4 linked regions of the Diceros bicornis minor genome follow. The protein of the gene in region 3 purifies or fractionates together with the protein of the main gene of each other region. This does not show direct contact. Links are inferred from orthologs where the notes say so. Each region holds a gene or a part of one and is shown on either strand. Other genes may lie near its edges.

Region 1 (7,327 bases), on a different chromosome or scaffold from region 3:
AGCAGTAAAACCGAATAGCATTTTTAAAATGTATACTATATGTTGGTCCTTGAAGAAAAGCTAGTTAATTAGATGAGGATCAAGAACTAGATGAAAATACATGGAAACTTTAAGGAGATTCTATAAGAGCCTTCTAGTACTGTAAAGAACTTTAGTCCTTCATTGTAAGTAAGTTAAATTCAATTATCTTATGGTTTATGGGATCTCTAGGTCATTATTCTTCTCCACACTTACTAGCTATGAGGGAATATTTTAGCTTAAGCAAAGCAAGGAGAAAAAGGAAGAGAAACACAGCAAGGGAGTGAACTATGAAGCCATCAAGCTAGAGACACAGTAAAAGAAACTGAAAAGGTGAGGCTGAGGCAAGGGCTGAGCTCTGCATGTAAAATGGAGATACCATCTTCCTAGAAGGGCCACTGCAGGAAAGAGAAATAAGTCAAAGTTTCTAGCACATGGTACCTGTTATTAGGAGCTTAGAGTCTAACATGGAGAAGTAATTATAGCAGCATAGGACTGTGGTTAAGAGACAGGGGCTGCTTGGTTTGAATTCTGGCTTCACCACATACTAGAGGTGTTGACCTTGGGTAAGTGATTTAATCTCTCTTTTCCTCAATTTCCTCATCTGTAAAATCAAAAAAAAGTACCTTTCCTCACAGGGGATTAAATGAGTTAGCATGTGTAAAATGCTTAGAAGAGTGCATGACAGCTAGGAAATGCTCAACAAACATTAGCTATCTCTATAACACAATGTGCTAAGGGAACAGATGAAAGTACCAAGAATTCCGTCTTGCAGCAGTGGTCAGGAAAAACTACAGGGAAGTCATATCTGAACTAGATATGAAGTTCTAAACATGAAGAGGTCAGTAAATGGACAAGGGGGAAAAAAAGCAAATTACTGCACCACTGGGAATGGGGGAAGGGGAAAGCGTGAGGTCTGACTTCTAACCAGTATGGTATACCGCCTCCTATCATCACAGAAACTAATATATATTAAGCATCTACTTGCAATACTGAAAGCACATTCTCCATTTCTCATGGCAACTCTGTAAGTATTGTTATTCCTCTTTCAGTTAAAGAAACGGAGGCTCAAAGTGGTAAAATAATATGCTCAAGATTAAGCAGCAATTGGGAAGTAGAGGCAGAATTCAAACCCTGGTCTATTTAGATGCCAATGTTCTTTCTACAATACCATACTATTCCCATTAGTTTGGGAACATAAAAATAATTATGTAAAATTTGGATTGCTTATTATATCATATTGGTAGAAATTTTAAGGTCTAGAAAAAATAACCCATTAACATTTTAAGATAAGACTTTATAAAGCCCTCATAAAGTTTATCCTCCTGAATTAGATTTTTGAAGCCATCTCCAGCTAAGCACCATGAATGTAGTATTTAAGCCACTATGGAAATTCAATTTGACATCCAGTTACAAGCTTATACTATGTGTCAGCACTGTGCGAGGACCAGGAGAAATGACACTGAGCAAGGTAACTACCTCACTTTCCTCCCAGTAGCAGAGCACGATGTGTAAGTACAGGCTCCAGAGCCCCATAGGTTGCCCAAGTTCAAATCCTGGATAACTCACTTACACCCTGTGTGACTCGGGGCAAGTTACTCAAGGGTTCTGTGCCTCAGTTTCATCATCTACAAAACGGGAATGACAACAGTATCTACCTCCTGGAGTTTTGTAAAAGCATTAGGAAAGTGCCTGGCACTCAACAAATTTTCTCTCTCGTTACACTTAGTTGGGAGATGAACGTAAAGAAATAAATGGCACAGCTCAGGGAGAAAACGCAAAATAACTAAAGAAAATAACTACAAAACTGAATCGGCAAATGCAAATATACAATATAGAGTGTATATAAAAGTGGTATAAATAAAAGAATCAATAAAACAAATGGGTCTTTTGAAGGATGTAAGACACCATTAACAAAAAGGTAGAGATAACACAACAAAAGTACAAACCAAAAGGTCGAGAAAATTCCATTAAGATTTTATAGTAACTCAGCCAGAACTGAGTGGGGAAAGACAGATGATACCGGCTTGGAAGGCCAGTCAGGTTTTCTGTCATTATTCAAACAGTTTTCAAATACTATTTCTAGATTAGCCTGATGGAAAGACAGGGTTGAAAGCATCTACTTGCTTCTCTTTGGACTTGGGTTGGTCTCCCTGTTCTGTGAAGCCTCCAAACTGCATTCCCTGCCTCTTGTCTCAACTCGACACGATTCATTCTCTACTAAGTTGTTAGAATGATGTACCTAAAACCAAATATGATTATATCACGGCTTTATTTAGACACCTTCTAACGACATCCCGTTGCCTACTGGATAAACCCTCAATTCCTCAGCAGAACACACAAGGACTTCACATTTTCACCCTATCCCACTTTTCCATCAGTCTCTTATTCCATTCCTCTAAGGCAACAGACCACCGCATTCCTTCAACAGACTAGGTGTCATTTCCTGTTTTCACACCTTACCAGCAGTTATTCTGCCTACTCATGGTATCCTAAGTCACCGTTTATCTGTCAGTCTCTCCAGCACTTAAGCTGAGTCTCGAGCTTCTCACCGCTTCCCTTTTTCCAGGCAGCAGGGGACGAAACCCTGCGTCCGGGAGCGGGAGGGCGGGTCGGTCTCAGGGACCGCCCCCGCCCCCGGCCCGGCTCCCGCGTCCTCTCGCCCCGCGCCCCCTTCCCTTCTCGGGCCTTCTCGGACCACGGTTCACCCCCGGGCAGAACCCAGCACAGCTCAGTCCGTCCAGGCGTGGAGGGAGAGCGGACGGGGCACTCTCTTCCCAGGTCCTTTAGCTCAACTCCTTTCCCCAACAGTCGAGGCCAGGGTGGGGACCGGCAAGGAAGGGGTAGCCCACGGCCTAGCATCAAGATGCCCAGGACCAGCGTGCTCTTACCACAAACACGGCCTCCGGAATCCCTAGGTGGAGCCGCCGCCCGTTCCCTGCGGGCACTTCACCTAAGCCACAACTGTCCTTAGCGGCCGCCATCTTGGAGAAACAAGCGTGCGACTAACTGCTCCGCCAGCCGCCAGCCGCCGGGGGTCCGTGATTGGCTCGCTCACACCAGCAAGCCCTCCCCTCCCTTGTGAGTCTGCGCGTTCATTGGCGCGCAGGAAGTAGCCGCCCCTTCTCCCTCGGACTCAGCCTGTGGGTGCTGACTGGCTGCGCGCAGGTGAGTGACAGGCGTGGAAGAGCCGCGGAGGAGAAGCTGGTTCCGGGGGAAGGACCAATACAGACTCCTGCGAAAAACGGTCTCGGGGATGTTGTGGGTAGGCAGGGGTGGAGACCCTGGGAATTGGGGACCAAGTCGGACCCCACTCCCACCCCAAAACAGGCAGCACCCTCCAGAATGGCCTTTGAAGTGACTCGATCACCTCTCGAATACAAGCGAACCTGGGAACTAGACGGCACCATGGGGCTTTGGCTTCAGTGCCTTTCTGGTCCCAACATCCCAACGAGCTTCCTGGCCCTTGAAGGGGGCTTGTTTTGTGGCTGTTTCTGGAGTCACTGGCCTGATTCTAATAAATACCCCGCCCATTGCACCAGCCTTTCTTGAAAGCATCCTTTGATCAGAATCTCGCCACTCCAGCTCAAACATTTTCAAAACTTAAGTCTACATAAAATCCTAAGGACTCTTCTGAGGCTTCTAGTCCTAAGGACTTCCCCAGCATTGCCCATCACTACAACTCTTTGAGAGCAAGTGCATTATACATACCCAAGTAATTATTCTTTGGTGTCTTTTCTGACATCTAACCACCATGTTTATTCTTGCCTTTGCTTGCTCTGCAGTGATTCCTAGTGAAGCTGTGCTTCATCCGCACACACAAAGCCTACCATGAGCCAAGCCCTTTATGAATAAAGGATAAATGTCAGTTCCCTTACCTAGTGGGGACACACACAGTGATTAACATTTATTAGAAACCAACTATGTACCAGTCACTGAGTCATGTTATTTAATCCCCACAGCTCAGTGTGAGAGGGACTGCTATCATTCCTAGTTTACATACAAGTAAAGGGCCTTAAAAATGAACCATTTGTAAGATAATAGGATAAATGTTATAATAGTCACATCGGGTAGGAAGGGAGCACAGGTGAAGACACTACCTAAGTCATATTTTAAAATGAGAATAACAATGTGTACCAACAAGGCTGTTGTAAAGATTGCCACACAATAGGGCAACCAAAGAATTTTATTTGGATTATCTTGTTTCACCCAACATCCTGATAAAGAAATAACAAGCAATAGGATATTGGAGTATATGAGGAAGCCATTTGGTATAAAACTAATTCAGCCTGAACTTGTTTTTTTCCAAAAGGGCCTGACACAGCCGTTGAGCATGCATTGTATATCTGCTTTAAGTATTTACTATGTCCCAAAGACAACAACAATGCCCTTAAAGATAAGGATATAACTTCCTCCACATCAGCATTTCCTTAAGGACAAGCATCTTTCCCTAAACTAGGGATTGATTGCTGACCTGCTATGACCACCCACCTCCAGACCACTGACCTGCTGTGTTCATCGAATTGCAGTGCCAGCAAAGCAATCTCGTGACCGTTGTAAAAGGGACATTCCAATCATATGTGATGCATTTGGAGTGACCCATTCCTTTGTGGAAGGACTCTCTGGGGCTATATGGTCCTCAGATCTGGCTCATAATAAACTCACCCCAATTTTGATTTATAGATTGGTTATGGATTATTTTTGTTGACAATCCCAACATCCTTCCTGTCTGGTCATTATGAGCACATATATAAAGTGACCTTGTCATGGTAGGGTGCCAGCAGAATCAGAAAGAGGTTGATGGGGTTCAGGGCAGGCTGCCCCAAGATGTGCCACTCTGGTATGTGGATTATTTCAAACTGAAGACAATCAAGGCTCAGAAGACTCTGAAAGAAACTTTGAACCCCGCCCCCAACTGCCTTAAAGGATTTAAGATAGAAGGCCTATCCCCAGGACAGGCCATCCCTATAGATAACTCTGGGTATGGATAGACTGGGACGGTCCTTGCTAAGCCCATTCTTATCAAAGTTCTGTTTACCAAACATTTATGTTTGTAAGGGAAATCTCCATTTGTAAAGGTATCTCCCTCTCTGTACTGGGAAGAAAGGGGGATGACTTCATCTGTAGAAACTTATCAATGGGGAAGGCAAGGCCTTAAATCTGCATAATAACATTACTCTTGTTTACTGTGCTTTTCTGGTAATCTCCCATAACTGACTCCCCCAACATCCTCTTTTATCTTTAGCTGAAGAGGGTATTTAAGAGGAGAACCTCAGCCATTTTGTCGAGTTACCCAGTCTTTCCTGGCTTTCTCTCGTGTATGCATATTATAAAGCTTTGTTTGATTTTCTCCTGTTATTCTGTCTCATGTCAATTTAATTCATACCTCAGCCAGAAAGGACCCAGAGTGGGTAAAGGATAGTCTTCCTCCCCTTCAGGGTCAAAGAAAAGCCTCTCAAGGCCAAAGAAATGAAGCTACATGCAAAAAGATCCTGGACTAGAGAACCAAGAACCCAAAGTCACCCCAACACTGAGTCAAAGAAGGGGTCAGGCTTGGGAAGCCAGAACTCCATGCCTCAAGTTCCAGGAAGGCAGGCTGCAGCAGGAACTCTCTAGCTCCTAATAGTATAAGGCAATCTAGATTAGTACTAATTAGTACAGACAGTCATAGAAATAGAAATAATCTAGTTGGAGCCTCTCATGTTACAGATGATGAAACTGAGTCCTAGAAAGAGAAAAGAATGTGCCTAAAATCTCACAGAAAGTCTTGGGGTAGAGCAGAAAAAACCCAAATAATTCAGTTCCAAGTCCAGTGTTCATTTTTGCATGAAGAAAGACAGACTTGTGGAATAAAGAATGTCCAGAAACAGACAAGTACACAGGGAAATTTAGTAAATGACAAGGGTGGCATCTCAAATCACTGAGGCAAAGATGTACTTTTTAATAAACAGTGTTGTAACAGCTGGGTAGCCATTTGCGATGTAGGGGAGGAAGACAATTCCTCTATCCTCTAGGTCTTTCTGGCTGGCCTAAGAATTAAATTGACATGAGACAGAATAACAGGAGAAAATCAGAGCTTTATAACATGTATACATGGGAGAAACTCAGGAAAGCTGAGTAACTCACCAGAATGGCCAAAGCCGCCCTTAAATACCATTTTCAGCTAAAGACAAAGGAGGATGTTGGGGGTAGTGGCTTGGGGCTTCAAAGGGGAGGAAGGCAATTCACATGGAGATGGAAAAGCAAATGTTTGGTAAAGAAGTGTTTGCTGGGCCAGCTATAGACAATGTTATCTTATGGTATTAGCTCCTTCCTGGAACAGGCCTTCTATCTTAAATTCTTTTAGGCAGTTAGGGGGAAGGTCAAAGTTTCTTTCAGAATCTTCTTCTTAAAAATAATCAAGCCAATGAGACACCTTTTGAGGTGGCCAATTATGATCCCTCACAGGGAAAAAATAAAATTAGATTAATATCACAAACTATATACAAGAATAAATTCCAAATGGATTAGGAAAATAAATGTAAAAAAAGTAAATCATATAAGTACGAGAAGAAAATATGGGGTAATTCCCCCTTTAATTGTGGTGTAAGGAAAGACATTCTATGACTTATCCAGGGACAATAAAAGAAAAGGCTGATACATTTGCCTATTTATAAAAAACAACAACATAACTCTTACAAAAATGACACCAGAACAAATTCAAACTGTTAAGAAGCTGGGAAAAAATATTAGCGAAATTGTACCAAAGAAATAGACTAAATGTCATACTGAAAAATGGGCAAAAGACAATTAACAAACAAAAAGACGTAAGAATTTCTTGTAAACATGTGAAAATGTGTTCAACCTCACAAAAACTAATAAATTTCAAAATAAAACTACTCTGTGGGGAAAGCAGTAGGAAGAAAGCAGGCCTATCTGAGAGCTGAGGGAGGGGGATGGGGATGGGGGCAGGGAAAGGACAGTGGACAGAGGGTAGAGCAGAGCAGGATGAGCATGGAGCAAGCGCCAGGGAAAAGGATTAAAGAGCAGAGAAGGGAAGAAGAATGACATAATTAAAAGAGGGGGCAAGGCCAGAGGACAATGAGCAGGAATGGAAATGTGGGACACGGAGCAGTACAGGATAGAGGAAAGGGGGCAAGTTAGGAAAACTGGAGGAAGGGCACACTCTCCACTCTGAACACACTCAGGAACCTGCTCAGGGAGGGGAACGTGGCTGGAATAGGGAGGAAACTGGGCCTGGTCAGAGAACTCGGGAGAGGGAGGCAGGTGGATTGGAGAGAGAGGCCAGGCTAGAGGACTGGGGGCAGAG
Region 2 (6,901 bases), on a different chromosome or scaffold from region 3:
AGAATGGTTTATTTCTCCCCAGCAACCTCTCTAACCCGGTCCCTTTATTTGCTCTTAAATTTTTCTCCTCATTTGTCACAGACCCATGTCAAGTACTAGCCACCCAATTAAAGTGATCAGTATGAAGACCTCCCCTGGCTGCAAGTTTGTAAGAAACGATTTTTGGACAAAGAAATGGAAGAACAACTTTGTGGACAATGGACAAACTTAGAGGACATCACAAAGCATTACATGTTGGGATTTTAAATCAGTTTAAGCTACATTCAAACAAATTCTAGGAAGAGAGAGGCTAAAAAGAACTAAGAGAGACACCAGGACTATTTGGAGGATAACAAGTAACCATAGCAAGGAGGGTCACCACATTTCAGCCTGGGGTTTCAGGTTAGAGAATTGTGAGTTCTTCAATTAAACTGCCTTTCCCAACAATTCCTGCATTACAAATGCCCTTCCCATGTTTCCTAAAGACGTGTGCCAACAAAGATAAGAGGGAGTTAAGGGTTGTATACACAGGCAAGTAGTAAGTTTAAGAGAGATTTTAGTCTCAAGAAAGAAAAAACGATTACTCTACCACAGACAGATTCCAGTTGCAAGAATCTGGACCTGTGGGAGTAATGTAGGTGACATATATATAAGGTGGAAGGGGCGGGGGGAATGGATGGAGAATTACCACAGAAGTGTCTGGTCAGGAAACAGCTAGAAGTTTTCACATTTTATTAGCTACAGTATAGATCCTAGAGCTGCCTCATTCCCTCCCCTCCCCGCCCCCCCACCACAGGGTCAGGCCTTCCCAGGAGCCCCTGCCTTTGCTGCCTGGGCCCGCTGGAACTCCTGCTGCAGCTGGGCAAGGGTCTCCCTCTGTTGCTCTGACTGCCGCTCGAGGTCCCGGAGCTGGGATTCATATCGCTTACTGAGGAGAGGCAAGAGAGACAAAAAAGCAAATGAGAAATGAGGGAGACTTACTATTGAGTGTGCTGCAGACAAGAAAGAGATTGGTGGAAAACTTGAGATCTAGGGGAAGGACAAGCAGCATTAAAAGGGAAGGGGTTAGAGGAACTGGACAAGTGGGGGCTACCCTGAAGAGCTACTCTACAATGGCTCCTCAACACCCCTACTCCAACAGTGTCAGATGCATCACAGGGCAGTGGAACAAAGACTCACATTTCAGCTGTGATGTAGTCCAGCCTCTTCCCCACTGTGGCCCGAGCCTCCCCCAGCTCCTGTTTGACCAGCACAGGACCCAGAAGTTTAAAGACCACGTTGGACCCATCCAGCAGGGCCAGTTCCTGATGGAAGAATGGGATATATATGATCACAATCACTGCCACTACAGGTCCCTCCTCGCCCCACAAATCCCAGTCTCTCACCTCCTTCACGATATTATTTTCTGTTAGTTGTGCCTCAAGTTTCTGCCGCCCTGACATGGATTTACTCAAGTCTGGGGGGTGGGAAGAAGGACTTGATTAGAGACATCAACAAATGTGTCCCCTGATCCCTCCCAATCAGAAAATGGAGCTGAGGAAGTGGACAAGGATGGGGACGGCGGGTCAGTGGGTGGAGAAGGGGCTGCACGCGGGGGCCTGGGTGGGGCAGAAAACATCTTGGGATGGCTTTGGGTTCTGAGCGAGTGAGGGGATTGGGGCGAGGCTGCACCGACCCTGCCCCCTTACCCTTCTGTAGCTGTTGGTATTTCTCCACTTCTCCCTGTAGCTTCTTCTGGATCAGCTCTGCCATGGCGGGGACGGAAGCCTGCGGCGAGCGGGCGAGGGGCACTGGGTCTCACACTCTGGAACGTGCCCGAGCTCCCTTTCTGGCCGGGCCTGCGGAAATGACAGCGCTCTTCAGAGGCAGCCTCTCGGGGCACCGCAGCCTCTCTCCGTCCCGGATATCGACTCTACCCCGGCCCCACGAGGTGCCGGGCGAAACGAGACCCCAGACCCCTCAACCGACACCCTACCCTACTCACGTTCTCCCTTCAGTACTAATAAACCCGGAAGCAAACAAAGAATGCTGGGAAAAGACGGCGCCGGAAGCTGTCCTCTGACGTATGCCGGGAACTGTAGTTTTGACATGTTTAATGAATGGTGTTCTGCTAAAAAGACTGGACTCGGAAGGTTTTAGGCAAGATGGGGAAACGAAGCTGGAAAAAGAAACTGCCTCGTTCCTTGTGCCCTGGCCCCGGATTTGCCTTTCTTTCATTACTTGGGCAAAACCTGCCGCTCAGGTGGGCGAGGGCGAGGCTGCCCCGCACCTCCCTGGGGAGCGCGCCCTCACTCAAGATGGCGCCTGGAAGGCTTCAGACCCGGTGCGTGCTGATTGGATGACGGCCAGAGGACTTCCGGGAGTTTTCAAGCGGACTGTTGGACAGCTGAGAGAAGTTTGCACGTGGATCGTGGTTCAGGTGGGCTAGATGGAGACGGCCCCCAAGCCAGGAAGGGGTGTCCCGCCCAAGAAGGACAAACTTCAGGCCAAGAAGAAGGTAGAGACCTCCCTGGGGTGGAAGGGAAATTTTTAACTGCGGGGTCGGAGGGGCGGGGCGCGGGCAGCGGAGTATCAGGGATCCTGATCTGCCGGTAGAAACCGCGGCGATACTGGGAGGAAGAGACCACTCCGACAGCTGCCGCAGCCTCTCCAGGCCCCCCTCAGAACAAGAAGAGAAATCGAGAGCTCCGCCCCCAGAGGCTAAAGAATAATTACATCACAAAGAAGTCTCGGATCTCCAAGAAGCCCCAGGTCCCGAAGAAATCCCGAGAACGGAGAAATCCGGAGCCTCAGCGGAGCTTGTCCGGGGTGAGCCTGGGACCGGATCGGGTGGCGGGGCAAGTCGCCTTGGGCTTTGAGGTTGCGAGGGTTGGGATTAACCCGAGCCTCGAGCCTGTCTGTTAATTGCCTCCTCCCTGCCCCAGGCGCAGGATCCATTTCCAGGCCCCGCCCCCGTGCCTGTGGAGGTGGCTCAGAAGTTCTGTCGCATTGACAAATCCAAAAAGGTGAGGACCAGCCGGGGGGGAGGGGGGCGGGGGGGGGTTGCAAGCAGGGAGTGACTGGGTGAGATGAGTGGAGGCGGGACCAGGTGGCTGTCTTGTGACTCCACATATTTGCTGGTTCTTCTCGCGCTTCTCTACCACCAACGATGTTATAGCTGCCACATTCTAAGTCCAAAACCCGAAGCCGAGTTGAGGTGGCTGAAGCTGAGGAAGAGGAGATAAGTGTCAAAGCTGCTCGTTCTGAGCTGCTGCTTGCTGAGGAACCTGGGTAAGTGGACCCTAATGTGGGCCTCCCCAGCCCCCGCTTTATGGCACTCTTCTTTCTCCTTTTTATGTTGGTACACCCACTTCATATTAGGAAGCTTTGCTGCAACCTTACCACTCACTTGCAGGTTTCTGGAAGGGGAGGATGGGGAGGACACGGCAAAGATACGCCAGGCCGACATCGTGGAGGCTGTGGACATTGCAAGTGCAGCCAAGGTGAGCCTGAGGATGGAAAAGGGGCCAGTGAGTTGATTGGTGGAGCAGAGCAAGATGGACATGGGGACTAGAAGAGGGAATTACTGAAGGGAGCCAGCTCTTCATGATCCTTTTTCTTTTTGCTCTTCCCTTTCCCAGCATTTTGACTTGAACTTGAGACAGTTTGGACCCTACAGGCTGAATTACTCTCGAACTGGGAGGTAAGGTTGAATTCCAGTGACTCTGGAACTAGGACATAGCGGTGTCTCTTTATCACGTCAGCCAAGCCCACCTCAGCCACACCAGCGTATGTCTGGGGTGTTGAGTGGGGAGGGTCCTGTGATTTGCTTGCATGTGAGAGAGAGCATGTGTAGCAACATCTCTTCTCTCACCTGGAGAGGAGGAGCTGGCGTGGGGCAGACCTCAAAAGGTCTGAGTCAGGGTGCTCCCCTGCATTGACACCGTGCCTATACCCCACCTCCAACAGACACCTGGCTTTTGGAGGGCGCCGGGGTCATGTGGCCGCACTTGACTGGGTGACAAAGAAGCTCATGTGTGAGATCAACGTCATGGAGGCCGTGCGGGACATCCGGTCAGTGGGGTGAGACAGCCCATCCCTGATTGAGTGACAGCCCGTGACGCCTTTTCCCACTGAACCACTTCTCCCGTCCTCCCAGGTTTCTGCATTCGGAGGCACTGCTTGCTGTTGCTCAGAACTGCTGGCTTCACATCTACGACAACCAGGGCATCGAGCTCCACTGCATCCGCCGCTGTGACCGAGTCACGCGGCTTGAGTTCCTGCCCTTCCACTTCCTCCTGGCCACAGCTGTGAGTGGCTGTGGAGCACAGGGACCTGGTGGCAGCCCTGGAGAAGACTGCCCTTCCCCTGGGACCACAGTGGAGGGAGGACAGAGGGCAATCACGACTCATTCTCTTCCTCTCTTTCTCTCTCTCTCATAGTCAGAGACAGGGTTTCTGACCTACCTGGACGTGTCAGTGGGAAAGATCGTGGCAGCTCTGAATGCTCGGGCTGGACGGCTCGACGTCATGACTCAGAACCCTTCCAATGCCGTCATCCATCTTGGACACAGCAATGGTGCGTCCCTGGCTGGGCTTTGACTCCCTGACCATGCTGACTTGCTTTTTTCTATACTGTACTTCATGAGTACTTACCTCCCGCTCTTGTTACCTCTTGGCGTTGAGTCCCCATTTTCTCAGGTTTAATCACCTCAGCGCCCTGTTAGTAACTTCAGCTCTTCTCCTCTGATGTCCAGGTACTGTGTCCTTATGGAGTCCAGCTGTGAAGGAGCCACTGGCGAAGATTCTCTGTCACCGTGGTGGGGTCCGGGCTGTGGCAGTAGATTCTACAGGCACGTAAGTCACTTGTTTGGGGGTCACAGCTGGGAAGAAAGGCATAGAGTCAATGTGTCTTTAGGAGCACAGACTCTGCAGCCAGCTGCCTGGGTTTAAATCCTGCTGTTACCACTGACCAGCCGTGTAAGTGTGGGCACGTTACACAACCTCTCTGTGCCACACTCTCCTCACCCTGGGAGTGAGGACATGAGTGTCTAGCTCAGCACATTTTTCCTGTAGAGTCAGGTAGTAAATATTTTAGGCTTTGCTGGTCAAGAGGCAAAATCGAGGGTATTATGTAGGTACTTAAATAACAACAGAGACAACAAAGCACAAATTTTTAAGCAATGAAATTCAAAATATAATGATTTAATACAAAATCTTTGTAATATAGGTCTACAAATGGGAAGAATTCGATTCCTCTTTTTGAAGATAACATTTTGCTTAATTGAGGTTCATGGTTAGTGTTCCAAATCACCAAACTAAATTGCAAATGTTTGTCTGTTAATGCTCATCTGTAAAGAGATTTTCTATATTTCATCTTTGGAAACATCTTTTCACACAGATAGATGATGAGACAGGTGGTCTGTGAGGTGCTCAAAGTGCTGTCAGTTATAACCATGTCACTGAGACTTGTCATGCGCTGGGCAGCAGTGGGAAGCGATAAGATGCCACACACAGTGTCTGTCTTGACCTCTCTACTGTGCTAGTGTAACGGAGAAGCAGCCACAGAACAAGTAAATGAACAAATGTGGTTGTGTTCCAATAAAACTTTATTTGTGGACACTGAAATTTGAGTTTTGTTTAATTTTCACATCTCAAAATATCCTTCTTTTGATTTTTTTCCAACCACTTAAAAATGTAAAAACCAGGGGGGCTGGCCCCACGGCGTAGCAGCTAAGTGCATGCGCTCCGCTGCTGGCAGCGCGGGTTCGGATCCCGGGCGCGCACCGATGCACCGCTTGTCAGGCCATGCTTTGGCGGGGGTCCCATGTAAAGTGGAGGAAGATGGGCACGGATGTTAGCTCAGGGCCAGTCTTCCTCAGCAAAAAGAGAAGGATTGGCATGGATGTTAGCTCTTGTAGGCTGTTCAGAGATAGGTGGTGCAAGGCTTTATTTGGCTCATGGGCTGTGGTTTGCCCAGCCCTGGGCTTAGCTCATAGAGCTGTTGTAGGCGTTACAGTGAGGTAAGGCACGTAGAGTTTAGCGTGGTGCGGGGTGAACGGAGTGCACCATGTTTCATCCTCATCCTCAGCGAAGATGATCGTGCTCTTTAGGTCTGGCTGGTGCTGTGAGGGGTGGGGGTGGTGGGTCCACTTTGAATCTCTGCTCTTTCTGAGAGAGCTTTGGCATTTCCACAGCTCTTCTGATCTGTATGTGTCTCTGGATCTGGCAGACTGTTTCCCGTACAAGTTCCCGTGTGTTTTCCTCTAATTCCTTTCATCTGTCAGGCATTCACCAGGCACCTGGTGTGGGCTGGGCTCTACACTGAGGTTCTGGGGGTATAAGGATGAATCGGCCATTAAGCCTGTCCCAGTGTGTTGTTCCATACACTTTATTTACAAAAACAGGTGGCTGTGGTACAGGAATGATTATCCAGGTCACGCACTTAGGTTCTACTCAGTTGTCTTCTGTCACCCCAGACTGCATGCGTCCATCAAGGGATAGGTCACCTCTCTCCCAAAGTTCCTCCTTGCCTGCCCCCTTTCTGCCACATTTTCCTGTCACCCACAATATGACTTCTTTGCCACCTCTAGCCTCACAGCCCGTGTTCTTCAGCCATCAGTAATAGCAGGAATCCAAAGCACCATTCACTGAGTGCATTCTGGGTGCCCAGGCTCTGCTACTTGCTTTGGTGGTATCACTTCATGACCACTCACTACCCCCCGTGACGTCCTGACTGCTTTTCCCCTCGAGGGTCCTCCAAGTCTGTTCTCTCCATCCTTGCCGTTTCTGCGGACATGCGTGATGCTCACAGCCGGTTTCCAGCCTCCAGTTCTTCCTCCTCCTGGCGTGCCCCGGGTGTGTTGTCAGAATAATCTTTCCCACAAGCTGCTTTCCTTTTACACTGCTGCCCAGGCATCTTCTACATTAGGTATAAACTACAT
Region 3 (7,365 bases):
GGGGTCCAGGGTCTTCCTACGCTCACATGATACAGGTTCACAGGGGATGTGAGTGCCTCACTCTGCAGGGCCCTTTGTTAGTTTCAGCGAGGGACACAAAGAAGTACAAGACATGGTCTCTTTCCATAGGGAGCTGTTAGGGCAAGGGAGAGCACCTTGCACTCCAGTGACCACAAAAGACTTCTTGGAGTTGTCTTGAGTGCAGGATAGGGATTGAATGCAAAAGACAGGGAAGGGAATTCCTTGTGACAGCTGAAATGATTCTGGCTATGTCCTGTGTGTCAGGGGTGACTGTGTGTGTGTTGGCCCTGGCCACCCTCCAGCCTGGAACTGTGGGCAACACCCTCCTGCTGACCCGGCTGGAAAAAGACAGTCCCCCAGTCACTGTGCAGATCCCCACTGCCCAGAGCGAGGTAGGTGTCCTGGGCTAGGGAGCAAAGTTGGGCTGGGGTGGGCTTCTGGTCAAGCCGCTCACATTCTGTGGCTGGGGGGTGGAGAGATGGTGCTCACATGGACAAGCAGATATCTCATAGCCCCGTCTCCCAAAGCTGCCTCTGAGTTTGGCCCTGAAAGAGTTTGATGCCATCCAGAAGGAACAGAAAGAGAACAGCAGCTGTACTGACAAGCGAGAATGGTGGACAGGGCGGCTCGGACTGGACCACAGGATGGAGGTGTGTGCCCCCAGGGGGGGTGGGGTCAGGCTGCCCTAGGAACGATCTGGAGTGCCAATGTCCTCTCTCACGGGTCCCAGCTCAGTGCCGAGCCACCTCTAGCCCTTTCTGGAAGTGTAGGCCTAAATAAAAAATTATGTCACTTGGGAAGGACTTGAGACAAGAGCCCAGAACTTGAAGGAGTTATGACAATGGAATGTTTAAAGATACACACAAGAAAAAGGATTTAAGCCCAAGTGTCAGCTTCACAGTTTTGCTGTCATTGCCCACCTGTTCGTATTTGTCAAAACATAGTGATAGGTAATAAATCATCTCATCTGTACTGCCCCCAAGTCGCAGCAGATGAAACATGTTTCTAGCTTCTTGCCTTCTATGACTGGCAGAAGGAAATGTAAGACAGAGACACACAGGAAAACCCATTTCCTCCTCTCGGTGTCGGTGCCTGTGGGAAAGAAACTCGGCTCCCTCTCTGCCTGAAAGTTCCGTTCTACATTCAGGTTCTCGTCACATCGCTGGAGAAGGTTGTGTTGGGCTGCTGGAGGGGGCTGTTGCTGCCATCCAGTGAGGACCCCGGCCCTGCCCAGGAGGCCTCCCGCCTACAGGAGTTGTTGCAGGGATGTGGCTGGAAATATCCTGACCCCACTCTGCTGAAAGTGAGTTGAGAATCAGGGAAGGGGCAGAAGCTAGACTTAACTCCTTCCCACCTGCCACTGTGAGCGGAGCTGGAGCTGTGGCATTCACTGACCGCTGTGCCCCTGCAGATCCTGCTCAGTGCTGCCAGTACTCTCACTGCTCAGGACGTGCAGGCCCTGGCCTGTGGGCTGTGCCCTGCCCAGCCAGAGCGAGCCCACGAGCTCCTGAGTGAGGCCATAGGGCGTCTACGGGGTCAGGCGGTACCAAGCAATAGGCACCTTGTCTTAGTGCTAGACAAGGTAAGGAGCTGGGGCCCGAGGGGCAGTGTCTGGTGGGCAGTGGGCACCTATTCACCCCCACGCCCCTTCTGACTCCTGCGTATACCTGGCTAGGGACAGTAACCTCTCAGTGCTTTCTGCCCAGGACCTGCAGAAGCTACCATGGGAGAGCATGCCCAGCCTCCGGGCACTGTCTGTCACTCGGCTGCCCTCCTTCCGATTCCTCCTCAGCTACTCCATCATCAAAGAGGTTGGGGGTTCAGGGAGTGGGGCATGGGGGTGATTGGTGATTGGGTGGGACTTGAAGAAAGAAAATGCAGAGAGACCTGGGAAGAAAGGAAAAGGTCTTAGGAATGGATCAGTCATGGCAGGGGCTTAGAGTTTGTGGGGCTGCAGCCCTCTGGCCAGACCAGGATCCTGATAACCACTGTCTCTTCCTCAGGCTGGGGCCTCATCGGTGCTGAGCCAAGGGGTGGATCCGCGCAGTACCTTCTACGTCCTGAACCCTCACAATAACTTGTCAAACACAGAGGAGCAATTTCGAGCCCATTTTAGCAGGTCGGGGGGATAAGAGTAAGAAAGGGGGTGGAGAAGGGTGGCGACAACATGCAGGCACCATGTCCTTTTCTCCAGAATGAACTGTTGCAGCCCACCCTCTCCCTAGCGTTCCTTCTGCCCTCTTTGCTCTGTGGCCCCTCTTCTTACTCCTGCTTTTTCCCTGCAGTGAAGCAGGCTGGAAAGGGGTGGTCGGGGAGGTGCCGAGTCCGGAACAGGTGCAGGCAGCCCTGACAGAGCATGACTTATATATGTGAGTGCTTAGGGCAGGGAGGTAGGGAGAGGGGCTGTCCCAGAGGAGGGTATCATCATGGTTTGCTTTGGGGCTTTAGAGCCCCTGGCTGAGTCAGGAGGCCTCTGGAGACATAGCAGAGGCCTGATACTGCTCATTCAGGCTCCTCTCACCTCCTTCTGCCTCAGCTATGCAGGGCATGGGGCTGGTGCCCGCTTCCTGGATGGACAGACTGTCCTGCGGCTGAGCTGCCGAGCAGTGGCCCTCCTGTTTGGCTGCAGCAGTGCAGCCCTGGCTGTGCATGGAAACCTGGAGGGGGCTGGCATTGTGCTCAAGTATATCATGGCTGGCTGGTGAGTCTCGAGAGGCAAAGCCCATCCTAGGTCCCCACCCCAGGTTCCTTCCCAGGTCTGAACCCTAAATCCTTCTTCTCTTGTACCCCACCTTCCTCCCATCCTAGTCCCCTGGCATGCCTGGGACTTTAATCCTTTACCCTCTTCTCTCCTCTTAGAACTATGGGCCCAGGGACTTCCTCATTGGCTCAATTCTCTCTACCCACCCATCACCAGCCAATCATGTTTTCCTGTGTATTCTGTTTTAGAGCCTTTACTCTGTATTTCTTCCTTCTTTTTTCCCAGCCCCCTGTTCCTGGGTAACCTCTGGGATGTGACTGACCGTGACATTGACCGCTACACGGAGGCTCTGCTGCAGGGCTGGCTTGGAGCAGGCCCAGGAGCCCCCCTTCTCTACTATGTCAACCAGGCCCGCCAGGCTCCCCGACTCAAGTATATTATTGGGGCTGCACCTGTAGCCTATGGCTTGCCCGTCTTCCTGCAGTGATCCCTTGGAACTGTCCTATCGCTGATAGAAGCCATGTGACTGTTCTACCTCCAAACTTAGATTTAACCCTTAGGGTAAATTTTAAGTGATTTTCCCCAGTGTTTTATATGAAACATTTAACATTAATGTAATAAAGACACATTATTTAAATCTTGTTTTGTGTAATTCATTTGAAGACAAGACTATTGCCCCCCACCGACCATGTGGTACTATAAACAGATGAGAACAGCTCACAGGAGTTCAAGTCTGAGAGCCTTGGGGAGAAAGGCAAAACCACAGGACAAAGCTGGGCCTGGCTTGGCCTCAGCAGACAAAGCTGAAGGAGAGAGGGGCATCAAAATGCCTTAAGTGGGGACAGAGGCCCAAGGAAGGGTAGAGAGAGACCCACTGGGAGCGTCCTGAGCAGGCACCATCATTTCTGTCCTGTCTTCCTGCCCTCGGGTGTCCTGGCAGTGACATTAGCTTTAATGCCTCAGTTGCCCCCCCCAACTCCCAAAGTTGGACGTTAGAGGCCGTTCTCTCCCCACACACAGCTGTTACACTGGTCGGTGCCGTGCACTTCAGCAGCGGATTTTGTGGGGCTCCGCTGTTTATGCATGGTTTCTGTCTCCCCAAAGAGATTGTTAAGCTCCTCAGAAGCACAGACCTCTCCCCTATCCCTCCATCTAGCACACGGTAAGACATTGCATTGATTAATAAACCTTGTGCCGTACTCGTCCGTTGATAACGTGGCTCTTGATCATGCTCTCCACCCCTAGACTCCTCAGCTTCATGCCGACAGCACCACTTTCACGACGCTACTCCCCCTGACCCCGCACTTCCCAGGCGTCTTCCTTGACTCTCAGTCACCGGGTTTATACCATCCACGTGGAGTAGCATACATTGCTTTGCAAAATTGCGGTTATGGCCTGAGTACTTTTAAGATTTTTAAGTTCCTTGAGGGCAGGAGTCCTGTTTGCCACAATTTTACTACGCTAGGCTTGGGATGTCTTATGCAGAGAACGCACAACTACCTTCTCTCATCAAAGGCGAGTCTGAGAAGCTCAGCCCCTCCCGGGACGGGGATCATAGAGATGTCTGGCGCAGCGAGGCCTCCCGCGCAGCCATCGAGGCGCGCAGGGGAAGGCTAGAGCGCTGCTCGCAGAGCCGCCTTCCGCTTCGCTAGTTCTCCTCCCCAACATGGCGCAGTCGGTTAACATCACGGAGCTGAACCTGCCGCAGCTAGAAATGCTCAAGAACCAGCTGGATCAGGTGGGGACGGGCCCCAGAGACAGCCCTTTCCCCCCTCGCATCCCTCCTGCCCACGCGTACTCCCTCGCCCCCCTTCCTCCCCACTTTGGGAAGCTTCTCTTCCCAGGTGAAACCCCCATCAGGTCCCAGGACCCGCAGGTTCCCACTCTGACCCTCTTTCCCGTCCTCTGTAGGAAGTGGAGTTCTTGTCCACGTCCATTGCTCAGCTCAAGGTGGTACAGACCAAGTATGTGGAAGCCAAGGACTGTCTGAACGTCCTGAACAGGAGCAACGAGGGTATGGGGTAGGCGTGTGAAGGCAACCGGGGGGTGTGGCGAGCCGGCTTCCTCTCTCGTCCCGCCTCCTAATCCAGTTGCCCTTACCCGAGACGAGAAAGCAATCCGTTACATATTGTCTGCCGCTACACGAGCCCTTTGCATGGTGCCTGCCTAGCATTGAAATGTACAGGACATTCCTCTGCTCCTGTTCCCCGTTTCCCTTCTTTTCATACTATCTCTGGGCGCTGTGTCATGTTGGAGTTCCCTTTTAACATCTTAACGTCGGAGGTGCCCACCTTCCCCAGATGTTTGTCTTAATTGCTTTTACAGGGAAAGAATTACTCGTCCCACTGACGAGTTCTGTATCCTTTCCACACGAACTGCTACCCTGCCCTCTCCTTTTCTCCTTCCCCCCTCCCCAAAAGGGGTGGGAGGTAGTTTTGATTATTCCAGAGTGCCCCCATGGTTCTGAGAACACTCTTATTATACACACTTCGTAGCTCTCCTGTCTAACCTGGGGCCAACATCCAGTCAATGCCTTGTGAGCAGGAAATATGTAGAATTGAGGTGTGATTATTTCCTTTTGCTGTTTGAGGATATAATCTAATATGGAGATAAAACTGGTGGTTTACACTTTTACTAATAACTTAGAAGACATAAGCAATAGAATAAGAGGATATAGAAACAAAGGGATTGGCTCTGTTTATTAATCCTCAATTTCAGCTTAATTGTGGCTCTTATTCCTAACCTTTTGTTACTAAGAAACCTGGGTTGTGTCTACCTGTTGAGTGTTTTACTTGAGTAAGTTATGACAATAGGGCACCTGGAGACTAGTCTGAGAACTGACAGGCTAAAAGAGAAACACAGGAATAGCAGTGTAGTAGGGATTGGCTAGATAATGAGCACTAAATCCATCAGGAATTAAGTAGTTCATAGTTGGGAGTGCTGAGGGGAAGTGAGGCTGGCTTTTCACTTTTCACACTCTACAGCAGTGAGAATATATTATGTCTTGTCTTTCTGGAGGGGCTAATGGGAAGAATTGTAAGAACTGCTTGGAGGTGGGAGATGGGATCAGGGTAAAAGTGTTCCAGCCTATGTCATTTTCTCCACAAGGAACCAGCTTCTCTGTCTCTCCCCATTTGGAGTTTATAGGTATAGTTCTAGGGCCTCCAGATGATTCAGTCCCTGTGCCTCGGAGATTTTTAGAGAAGGAGGGTCTTAGAAAGCCAAGCAGGCTAGTGACAGGGAATCATGACTCCTGCTGGGCTAGTTTTCCCTTAATCCTTGCTTCTCAGATGTATGTCCCTGGGAAGCTGCATGATGTGGAACACGTCCTCATCGATGTGGGAACTGGCTACTATGTAGAGAAGGTGAGTGGGAGGAAGCATGTGCATACTCCTGTGAGCGGGGAAAGGGAGTTTAGGGGAAGACTAGAGTGCAGCATTGGAGTCTCCTCTTAGCTCCTCATTCACCTCTGACCTTGCAGACAGCTGAGGATGCCAAGGACTTCTTCAAGAGGAAGGTAGACTTCCTCACCAAGCAAATGGAGAAAATCCAGCCAGCTTTGCAGGAGAAGCATGCCATGAAACAGGGTAAGGTTGGCCTGGGGGCACTGCTTGACCCTTTCTATATCTATGATAGAGAACATGGATTGCAGGTGAACCAGAGGGGTGTCCCCTTTACTGGACTAAAACCATGTCTTTTTCTTTGGTGTTTTGATGTGTTTATTCTCTAGATTCTGTGCATTACATACCTGCTATTTGTAGATTCCTGGGGGTGGGGCGGCGTGGAGACAGTGCTTGAGAAATTGAGAGGAAGAAAATCATGTCTGTGCCCTTGTGGAGCTCCTATTAATTAGGATGGAATGGGGGAGAAGATACATGTAAGTGAACACAGGAAAGAAATAGAGCCATGGGCCGGCCCCGTGGCTTAGCGGTTAAGTGCGCGCGCTCCGCTGCTGGCGGCCCGGGTTGGGATCCTGGGCGTGCACCGACGCACCGCTTCTCTGGCCATGCTGAGGCGACATCCCACATACAGCAACTAGAAGGATGTGCAGCTATGACATACAACTATCTACTGGGGCTTTGGGGGGAAAAAAATAAATTAAAATTAAAAAAAGAAAAAAAGCCTTAACTAAGTACCAGCAATTGCAACCCTGGCTGCTGCACATTAGAATCATCCAAGGAGGTTTGAAAAGAAAGCCTGGGCTCATCCAAACCAACTAAATCACCCGGGGGGTAGGGAGGGGGATTCCAGGGGTCAGTGTTTTTTAAAAAGCTCCCCAGGTGATTCTGTTACACAGTCAGGATTGGGAACCACTGTTCTAAAGGCAAAAATCTTTTCCACATTATAATTTCCTGGTTATGTCTGACTCATTGAATACTGTATTTTGTTCATTTTCCTATCCCAGTGGTTATATTGACTGACACAGTGTAGACTCTAAATTTGTGTTAGTGTGTGTCCCCCACAGTGGATCACTGTTAAAAGTTTTATTAACAAACTGTAGCAGGTTGTCTGCCTGTCCTTAAACGTCCCTGTCACTTTTCCTGACCTCTAGGTTCTCTCCTTTAGCTCCTGACCAGGCTCTGACTTCTTTTTCACAGCGGTCATGGAGATGATGAGCCAGAAGATTCAGCAGCTCACAGCCC
Region 4 (7,944 bases), on a different chromosome or scaffold from region 3:
TTGTTTTCTTAATTTCCTTTTCGAATTGTTCATTGTTAGTATACAGAAATGCAACTGATTTTTGTATGTTGACTTTGTATCCTGATACTTTACTGAATACATTTATTAGTTCTAAAATTTTTTTTGTGAAATCTTTAAGGTTTTCTACATATATGATCATATCATCTGCGGGGCCAGCCTGGCGGTGCAGTGGTTAAGTTTGTGCATTTTGCTTCGGTGGCCTGGGGTTCATCAGTTCAGATCCTGGGTGCAGACCTACTCACCGCTCATCAAGCCGTGTTGAGGCGGTGTCCCACATAGACGACCTAGAAGGACCTACAACTAGGATATACAACTGGGGGCTTTGGGGAGAAAAAAGAAAAGAAAATCATATCATCTGCAAACAGAAATAATTTTACTTCTTCTTTTCCAATTTGGATGCCTTTTATTTCTTTTCTAGCCCAATTGTTCTGGCTAGAACTTCTAGTACTATATGGAGTAGAAGTGAGAAAAGTGGGCATCTTTGCCTTTTTCCTGATCTTAGTGAAAAACTTTCAGTCTTTCACCATTGAGTATAATGTTCACTATGGGTTTTTCATATATGGCTTTTATTATGTTAAAGTAGTTTCTTTCTATTCCTAGTTTGTTGAGTGTTTTTATCATGAAAGGGTCAAATAGAATTTCAGGAATTAAAGACAATAATTATTGAAATAAAAACCCAAGGTGTGGTTTAAACAGGAAATTAGACATAGTTGAAGAAAGAATTAGTAAATTGGTGGAAAGAATTGAATAAATTACACAAGATTCAGGAAATAGATAGTAAGTGTAAAATAGAGGCTAAGAAATATGGATGCTTCACATTTCTAATGGGAGTTCTAGTAGGAGTCATGAGAGAAAATGGCAGAGAGTCAACATTCTGTGAGATACTGGTTGAATATTTTTCAGAATTAACATGAATTCTCAGATTAAAGAAGCATATTATGTCTCAAGCAGGAAAAATAAAGAAAACACACACACACACACACACACACACACACACACACCAAAGTGGAAAGGTAGAACGCAAAACACAGTGAATGTCTTAAAACACACCGGAGAAAAGACAGATGATTTCTAACAAAATCACGAAAAGCAGCCTGACAGGACTTTTTATCAGTATATAAAAGCCAGAAGACTATGGAAAAATGTCTTTAATAATTGTCAGTCTATAATTCTATGCACAGCTAATCTGTCATTTAAAATTAAGAGTGAAATTAAGACAATTTTATGTATACAAAGTGTATTAGTTTCATAGGGCTGCCATAACAGAGTACCACAAACTGGGTGGCTTAGAACAACAGAAATTTATTTCTCACAGTTTTGGAAGCTAGAAGACCAAAATAAAGGTGTTGACAGTGCTATCTCTGAAACCTATAGGGGAAGGATCCTTTTCTTGCCTCTTCCAGCTTCTGATAGCCTGAAGCATAACTACAATCTTCACATGGCATTCTCCTATGTCTCTTCAAATAGTCCTTCTTCTGTGCATATCTATGTCTGTGTCTAAATTTCCCCTTTTTATAAGGACACAAGTCATATTGTGCTATGGTCTGAATGTGTTGAAATCCTTACCCACAAAGATGATGGCATTAGGAGGTAGGGCCTTTGGGAGATGCTTAAGTCATGAGAACAAAGCCCTCACAACTGGGATTAGTGTTCTTATAAAAGAGACCCCACAGAGATCCCTTGCCCTTTCCACCAAGGGAGGACACAGTGAGAGGTCAGCAGTCTGCAACCGAGAATATGGCCCTCACCCAAGCATGCTGGCACCCTGATCCTAGACTCCAGTCTTCAGAACTGTGAGAAATAAATGTTTGTTGTTTATAAACCACCCAGTCTGTGGTACAGATCTTCCTCGATTTATGATGGGGTTACGTCCTGATAAACCCATCAAAAATTAAAAATATTGTAAGTTGAAAATGCGTTGGGGCTGGCCCGGTGGCTTAGTGGTTAAGTGCGCGCGCTCTGCTACTGGCGGCCCGGGGTTCAGATCCCGGGCGCACACCGACACACCGCTTCTCTGGCCATGCTGAGGCCGCGTCCCACATACAGCAACTAGAAGGATGGGCAACTATGACATACAACTATCTACTGGGGCTTTGGGGAAAAAAAAAAGGAGGAGGGTTGGCAATAGATGTTAGCTCAGAGCCGGTCTTCCTCAGCAAAAAGAGGAGGATTAACATGGATGTTAGCTCAGGGCTGATCTTCCTCACACACACATACACACACACAAAAGAAAATCATTGAACACACTTTATCTATCAAGCATCATAGCTTACCCTAGCCTACCTTTATTATTATTACTTTTTTGATGAGGAAGATCAGCTCTGCGCTAACATCCATGCCAATCCTCCTCTTTTTGCTGAGGAAGACTGGCCCTGGGCTAACATCTGTGCCCATCTTCCTCCACTTTATATGGGACACCACCACAGCATGGCCTGACAAGCGGTGCATTGGTGCATGCCCGGATCTGAACCCGGGCCGCCAGCAGCAGAGTGCATGCACTTAACTGCTATGCCACAGGGCTGGCCCCTATCCTAGCCTACATTAAACATGTTCAGAACACTTACATTAACTTACACTTGGACAAAATCATGTAACACAAGGCATTGAATATCTCATGTATTTTACTGACTACTGTACAGAAAGTGAAAAACAGAATGGTTATAAGTGTATCAGTGGTTTACCTTCATGATCGCGTGGCTGACTGGGAGCTGCGGCTCACTGCCACTGCCCAGGATCATCAGAGAGTATTGTACTGCATATCGCTAACCCAGAAAAGATCAAAATTCAAAATTCGAAGTATAAGTTGTCAGAAGTTGAGGACCGTCTGTATTTTGTTATAGCAGTCTGAAGAACTAAGACATGTTGGATTAGGGCCCACCCTAATGACTTCATTTTAACTTGATTACCTCTTGTAACGACTCGATTTCCAGATACATGACATTTAGAGGTACCCGGGTAGGATATACATCTTTTTTTGTGGGGACACAACTCAACTGACAACACGAAGACTAAGAGAGTTTACTTCTCAAAGACTCTTTCTGAAAGAATCTACTGAAGGATTTACTTCATCAAGAAGGAAATTAAACTCAGGAGGAAGGAGTGGTATGCAAAAAGGAACAATGATCAAAAAAACTGAGAGAAGATTCTTGCCTAAGGTCACATTGCTCTTAAATAGTGCGGTCAGTACTTGAACCCAAGTTGTCTGACACCTTAGCCCAGGCTCTTAACTTTTACATTGCACATATCTCTATGAGGAATGTTTCAAAATCTCATAAGGTAATGTATAGGAAAGTATCTGAGACCTGCTTTGAATTTTAATATTCAGTCATTATTTATTGATCATCTCTAATGAAGTTCTAAGACAATCCCAGAGTAGAATTAGGCCCTTTTTTTATTTCCCAAATTAGAGAGTGATGACAAATTTTCTTCTGAAGAAGAATTCATTCTCAACAAGTGTTTATTTTGTATCCCTTCCCTGTGATGCACTGTGATAAGTGTTCTGGGTATAAGTGGTGGGGGAACCACTATCCCACAGATCTTGATTTTAAGGAGCTTACAGTCTAATAAAATTTTTTTTTAAAGGTAGAAAGTGTCATGTGCTTTGAGAGAGGAACAGATGTAGTCTTGAGGAGAGTTCAGAGGAGGGATTATTTTTGGTCTCCTCCATTGGGCTGCACCTTGAAAGACAAACATGACAATGCTAACTACGTCAGCTTAACTACAACTATTTATTGAGTACCTACTGTGTGCATGGTGCTATGCTTGGAGCTTTTCATCTTGATCTTATTTAATCCTCACAATAACTTTGTTAGGTCAGTATTGTTACTCTCAAATTAAATAAGGAGATATACTGTATTGCCACACAATTAGCCAATGGAACCAGACAGACCTAGGCTCAAGGTAGACCAAATCTTAAATTCAGATCTTGCTGGTTCCAAATTCCCTGCCCTTTCTCTTTCCTCACAAGTTTTTAGAGTAGGTAAAACATCCATTTCTTTCATTTCCAAAGTCCAATACTATCCATCCTTCTGGTTCAAATGCCGGGTCTTTTACAGAAGATTCTCAAAATGGGGTCTGCAGACAACTTGCATCAGGTCATAAAGGGAGTTTGCAAAACTACAAAATTTCCAGGCCCCAATCTGAAAGATTCTAAATTAAGTTTGGGATAAAGACCAGAGAATCTGTATTTTTTTCCACAAACTTATTTGGCCTCTTTTCAGAACCACGTGTCTAGAAAGTCTTCCAGGAGCGTTCAGTACAAATAAGTTCTTTGGAAGAACACTTCAGGGGCCCGCCTGGTGGTATAGTGGTTAAGTTCATGCACTTTGCTTCAGTGGTACAGGGTTCGCAGGTTCGGAACCCAGGTGCGGACCTATGCACTGCTCATCAAGCCACGCTATGGCGGCATCCCATATACAACATAGAGGAAGATGGGCAACAGATGTTAGCTCAGGGCCAATCTCCCTCACCAAAAAAAAAAAAAAAAAAAACACACGCACAAAAAACACTTCAACGAAGCCTTCTGGTCTTCATATTGGCATGCTTGAGGCTCAGGCTGATTCTTCCTCTTCCTGACAACACAGGAACTAGCTTGAAGGACCGAATGACTGAAGAGGTTTTGGCCGGATCCACATACATCCCAATTTAGCAGCACAAACTAAGCTATTTGTCAAAATGCTTAAAACCATACGCGAAATCTGCGCATTGTGCTCTGTCTGGAAGGATGTGGCGAAGCAAGCCAGGTCTGATCGCTCACGTGGGGAAAACAGACTCTGAATCGGAATCCCCAAGTTTCAAGGGATGCTAGCCCCAGAGCCAGGAGGAAACTCAATTAGCCCAACTCATGCGCAGGCGCAGAAGGAAAGAGGACTATCAAACCGCCAAGGCGCGCCCTTCCCGCTTCCTCTTTCTGGCCTTCTCCCACCGCGCAGGCGCAGAGAGTGAACCAAGATGGCTGCCCCCGTGGATCTGGAGTTGAAGAAGGTAAAGGAGGGTATTGAGCAGGCAGTGGCTTCTCTTTGGAAGCTAAGGGGAGTGTGAACAAGAATATCGAGTGAGGCTCGAGTCCTGCGGAAGGAAAGAGGCCTCAGGGAATTGGGGAATGATTTCCCAGAGTCCTAAGGCGGGACCGGGTCTCCTTAGGCTGGAGTGGTGGGCGAGCGTCTCTAGCTGGATAAGAGCCGGTTGGGCTTGGTCTGGTTAAGTCAGGCGGGCCGTTGGCTGGCCTGTCCCCTCGTTCCGAGCTCCAGAGCCGTTTCGTTGCGCTCAGAGCCATCAGTTGCATCGTAAGGCCTGAAGTGAGCGTTTCAAATTGGAGCCCTTTCGGACGAGCCGAGGCATCTGTAATTCTGCATCCCCATCTGCTTTGAAAAACTCCCTGTTCCAACCTTGTGTTTTTTAGTCCACTTATTTGATTCCATCTTGAAAGGTCGTAGTATATACATACATTTCCGCGTCAGATATTCTCATAGCAATGTTCATCTGAGGGCTTTGTCTTCCACCCCCTTCCCCCTTTTTTTGAAGAACTTGTAAACTACAGAAACAAGTCCAGTAAAGTTTTCCAAATAAAATCGATGTCTGAAGGAATTGGGTTTCTCTCTTCAAACAATTGCTTATTAACGTGTTGTTACTTAAAAACGTTTTTGCCATCTGCGAGTTGTCAGGATTTTAACACCACTGCCAACCCAAAACGATATCCTTTTTTGGGGACGCTGGGACACAGGGATTGGAAAGGATGCTAGACTTCATCTACTTTAAACCTATACTTTTCTAGAAGAGGAAACTGAGTACCAGAAAAAATTCAGGCACAGGCTGAGAGTAGAATCCAGCATTCTCTGCTTTACTTCACACCTTTGACCATTAGTTTAGGTTTTTCAGAAAAGCAGATTTTACTAAAGACTGCCTTCTGGTCAACCTTTGCATAGCTCTTGCTCCTAATAAATGAAGCCGTTTGTACGTATGTGTGTGTGTCTTGCTTTTTGTCATTCCTGTTTGGAAACTTGTAAATTTAGCCCTTACCTGGTGGTCTCTAATGCAGTAGTATCTCAGCTTTAACAATATACTAGCTTCCTTAGCAAACTATGTACAGAACAATCAGGTAATACCTATAATTTTACATGCAAAACAAAATTCATTTTAAGAATGCTTGAAGCATTCTAAAAGTTTAACTTTTTTTTTTCTGTTAAAAATTCAAATTTAAGTCAGGGTTTAGTGAAAGAGCTAATAGAGTACAGCTGTGAATGGACTTGCCTCCCAGTATTATTTGGATTTGATGCTAAGAAACCTGTGGACAAAATGCATACTAAGAAAATGATTACAGACTTAAATTGGATAGTTTTGACAACCAATTAAATTAACCATAAGAGAAACTTGTGGGGCTGGCCCAGTGACATAGTGGTTAAGTTTAGGCACTCTCTGCTTCAGTGGACCACGGCCCCCGGTTCATGGGTTTGTATCCCTGGCAAACCTACACACCACTCATCAGGCCATGCTGTGGTGGCGTCCCACATACGAAATAGAGGAAGATTGGCACAGATATTAGCTCAGGGACAATCTTCCTCACCAAAAAAAAAAAAAAAAAAAGGAAACTTGTTGTTTAAAGGTTTTATCTTCTAATATCTTTATAAGGTCTCTTTTTGGAGGGGGTGGAGACTAATAGGAAATTTCAGGTACCTCCTCTCTCCTCAAATAAATCTTTTTAAACTTTACTATTAGGTGAGACCAAAGTCAGAATAAAACATAAGTAGTAGACTTTGCCATGTATTGCAGTCACTAATGTTATTAGTAAGGCATAAATTTGACAGCAGGTGAAAGTTATTCCAGGCACTTCAACAAAAATATCCAAGATCTGTGTTTATCTTTGAGTTAAGTGTACACAAGGGTCAAATTTGGCTTGGTATGTGCATGTGAAGATCATGATAAAGTCTACCAATGCTTTGAAATTTTTTTCTCTTTTTTTTTCTTTCTCTTAAAAATATTCATATTCTGAATATTACTGTAGACAGTAGAATAGAAAGATTTCTGAACTAGGGGTCAGAAGAAATGAATTTAAGTACTGTAGCTGCCTTTCCACCTAATAGTTATTAAGCCTGTGCAAGCCATTTATACCTCTTTAACACATTTAGTTACTTAATTTGTAAACTATGATGATGAAACTGCCATCCCTGACTCGTAACATCATTGAGAAGAGTAAATGAGATTTTTTTATTATATCCCTCAGTGCTCTCATATTAATATTCCAATGTTAATATTTCAAACAAATGTGGGAAAGTGCTATGAAACCTAGTTGTATAATGCAAATGTAGCAAGTTGTTACACTTATGATTCTTGTTTTCAGTCTCTGGGTTTCATCCTCTGACTGTTGCATTTATTGCTTTTATTATTCCTTGGGTACCTGCTACTTGATATGGTTATTATTTAATGTGCATTTGTTCTGCTTCTTCAAATAGATTGCTTCTTCTGAGGACAGGGTAAATTCAGTATTTAGCATAGTGGCTTGATCCTTTACAATTATATTGACTTTTGTTGGTGTTTGCTTTGGTAAATTTCACAGCTTTGTCTCTAGTTAGCATGCTTTATTTTTTTATTTATTTATGTTTTTGTGAGGAAGATCAGCCTTGAGCTAACATCCATGCCAATCCTCCTCTTTTTGCTGAGGAAGACTGGCTCTGAGCTAACATCTATTGCCAATCTTCCTCCTTTGTTCCCCCAAAGCCCCAGTAGATAGTTGTATGTCATAGTTGCACATCCTTCTAGTTGCTGTATGTGGGACGCCGCCTCAGCATGGCCAGACAAGCGGTGCGTTGGTGCGCAACCGGGATCCAAACCCTGGCTGCCAGTAGCGGAGCGCGCGCACTTAACCGCTAAGCCACGGGGCCCTCCCCTGCATGCTTTATTTTAATATATTTGAATTTGACTTAAATG

Evidence for each region.
Region 1: the proteins of PFDN5 (region 3) and VBP1 purify together in Homo sapiens (affinity purification with mass spectrometry; 7 studies listed by BioGRID and IntAct, counting the BioPlex papers as one, with this or other methods). This does not show direct contact. The link is inferred for Diceros bicornis minor from reciprocal best matches to the Homo sapiens genes PFDN5 and VBP1.
Region 2: the proteins of PFDN5 (region 3) and PFDN6 purify together in Homo sapiens (affinity purification with mass spectrometry; 5 studies listed by BioGRID and IntAct, with this or other methods). This does not show direct contact. The link is inferred for Diceros bicornis minor from reciprocal best matches to the Homo sapiens genes PFDN5 and PFDN6.
Region 4: the proteins of PFDN5 (region 3) and PFDN1 purify together in Homo sapiens (affinity purification with mass spectrometry; 7 studies listed by BioGRID and IntAct, with this or other methods). This does not show direct contact. The link is inferred for Diceros bicornis minor from reciprocal best matches to the Homo sapiens genes PFDN5 and PFDN1.

Annotation. Positions count from the first base shown.
Region 1 is NC_080781.1:138,789,845-138,797,171, forward strand, and holds the start of VBP1 (prefoldin subunit 3), read right to left. Parts: upstream 3,019-7,327; 5' UTR 3,003-3,018; coding exon 2,910-3,002; intron 1-2,909. UniProt on the Homo sapiens protein: Binds specifically to cytosolic chaperonin (c-CPN) and transfers target proteins to it. Binds to nascent polypeptide chain and promotes folding in an environment in which there are many competing pathways for nonnative proteins.
Region 2 is NC_080753.1:31,171,207-31,178,107, forward strand, and holds PFDN6 (prefoldin subunit 6), read right to left. Parts: upstream 1,944-6,901; 5' UTR 1,732-1,943; coding exon 1,668-1,731; intron 1,436-1,667; coding exon 1,365-1,435; intron 1,284-1,364; coding exon 1,159-1,283; intron 908-1,158; coding exon 778-907; 3' UTR 519-777; downstream 1-518. Other genes in the region: WDR46 (WD repeat-containing protein 46), read left to right, coding at 2,408-2,476, 2,575-2,787, 2,904-2,984, 3,137-3,249, 3,374-3,461, 3,600-3,661, 3,928-4,032, 4,118-4,268 and 2 more. UniProt on the Homo sapiens protein: Binds specifically to cytosolic chaperonin (c-CPN) and transfers target proteins to it. Binds to nascent polypeptide chain and promotes folding in an environment in which there are many competing pathways for nonnative proteins.
Region 3 is NC_080756.1:16,973,279-16,980,643, reverse strand, and holds the start of PFDN5 (prefoldin subunit 5), read left to right. Parts: upstream 1-4,353; 5' UTR 4,354-4,388; coding exon 4,389-4,460; intron 4,461-4,633; coding exon 4,634-4,736; intron 4,737-5,047; coding exon 5,048-5,079; intron 5,080-6,012; coding exon 6,013-6,087; intron 6,088-6,203; coding exon 6,204-6,309; intron 6,310-7,320; coding exon 7,321-7,365. Other genes in the region: ESPL1 (separin), read left to right, coding at 286-413, 549-671, 1,169-1,324, 1,433-1,603, 1,728-1,832, 2,025-2,140, 2,307-2,390, 2,558-2,722 and 1 more. UniProt on the Homo sapiens protein: Binds specifically to cytosolic chaperonin (c-CPN) and transfers target proteins to it. Binds to nascent polypeptide chain and promotes folding in an environment in which there are many competing pathways for nonnative proteins.
Region 4 is NC_080740.1:58,601,479-58,609,422, reverse strand, and holds the start of PFDN1 (prefoldin subunit 1), read left to right. Parts: upstream 1-4,926; 5' UTR 4,927-4,971; coding exon 4,972-5,004; intron 5,005-7,944. UniProt on the Homo sapiens protein: Binds specifically to cytosolic chaperonin (c-CPN) and transfers target proteins to it. Binds to nascent polypeptide chain and promotes folding in an environment in which there are many competing pathways for nonnative proteins.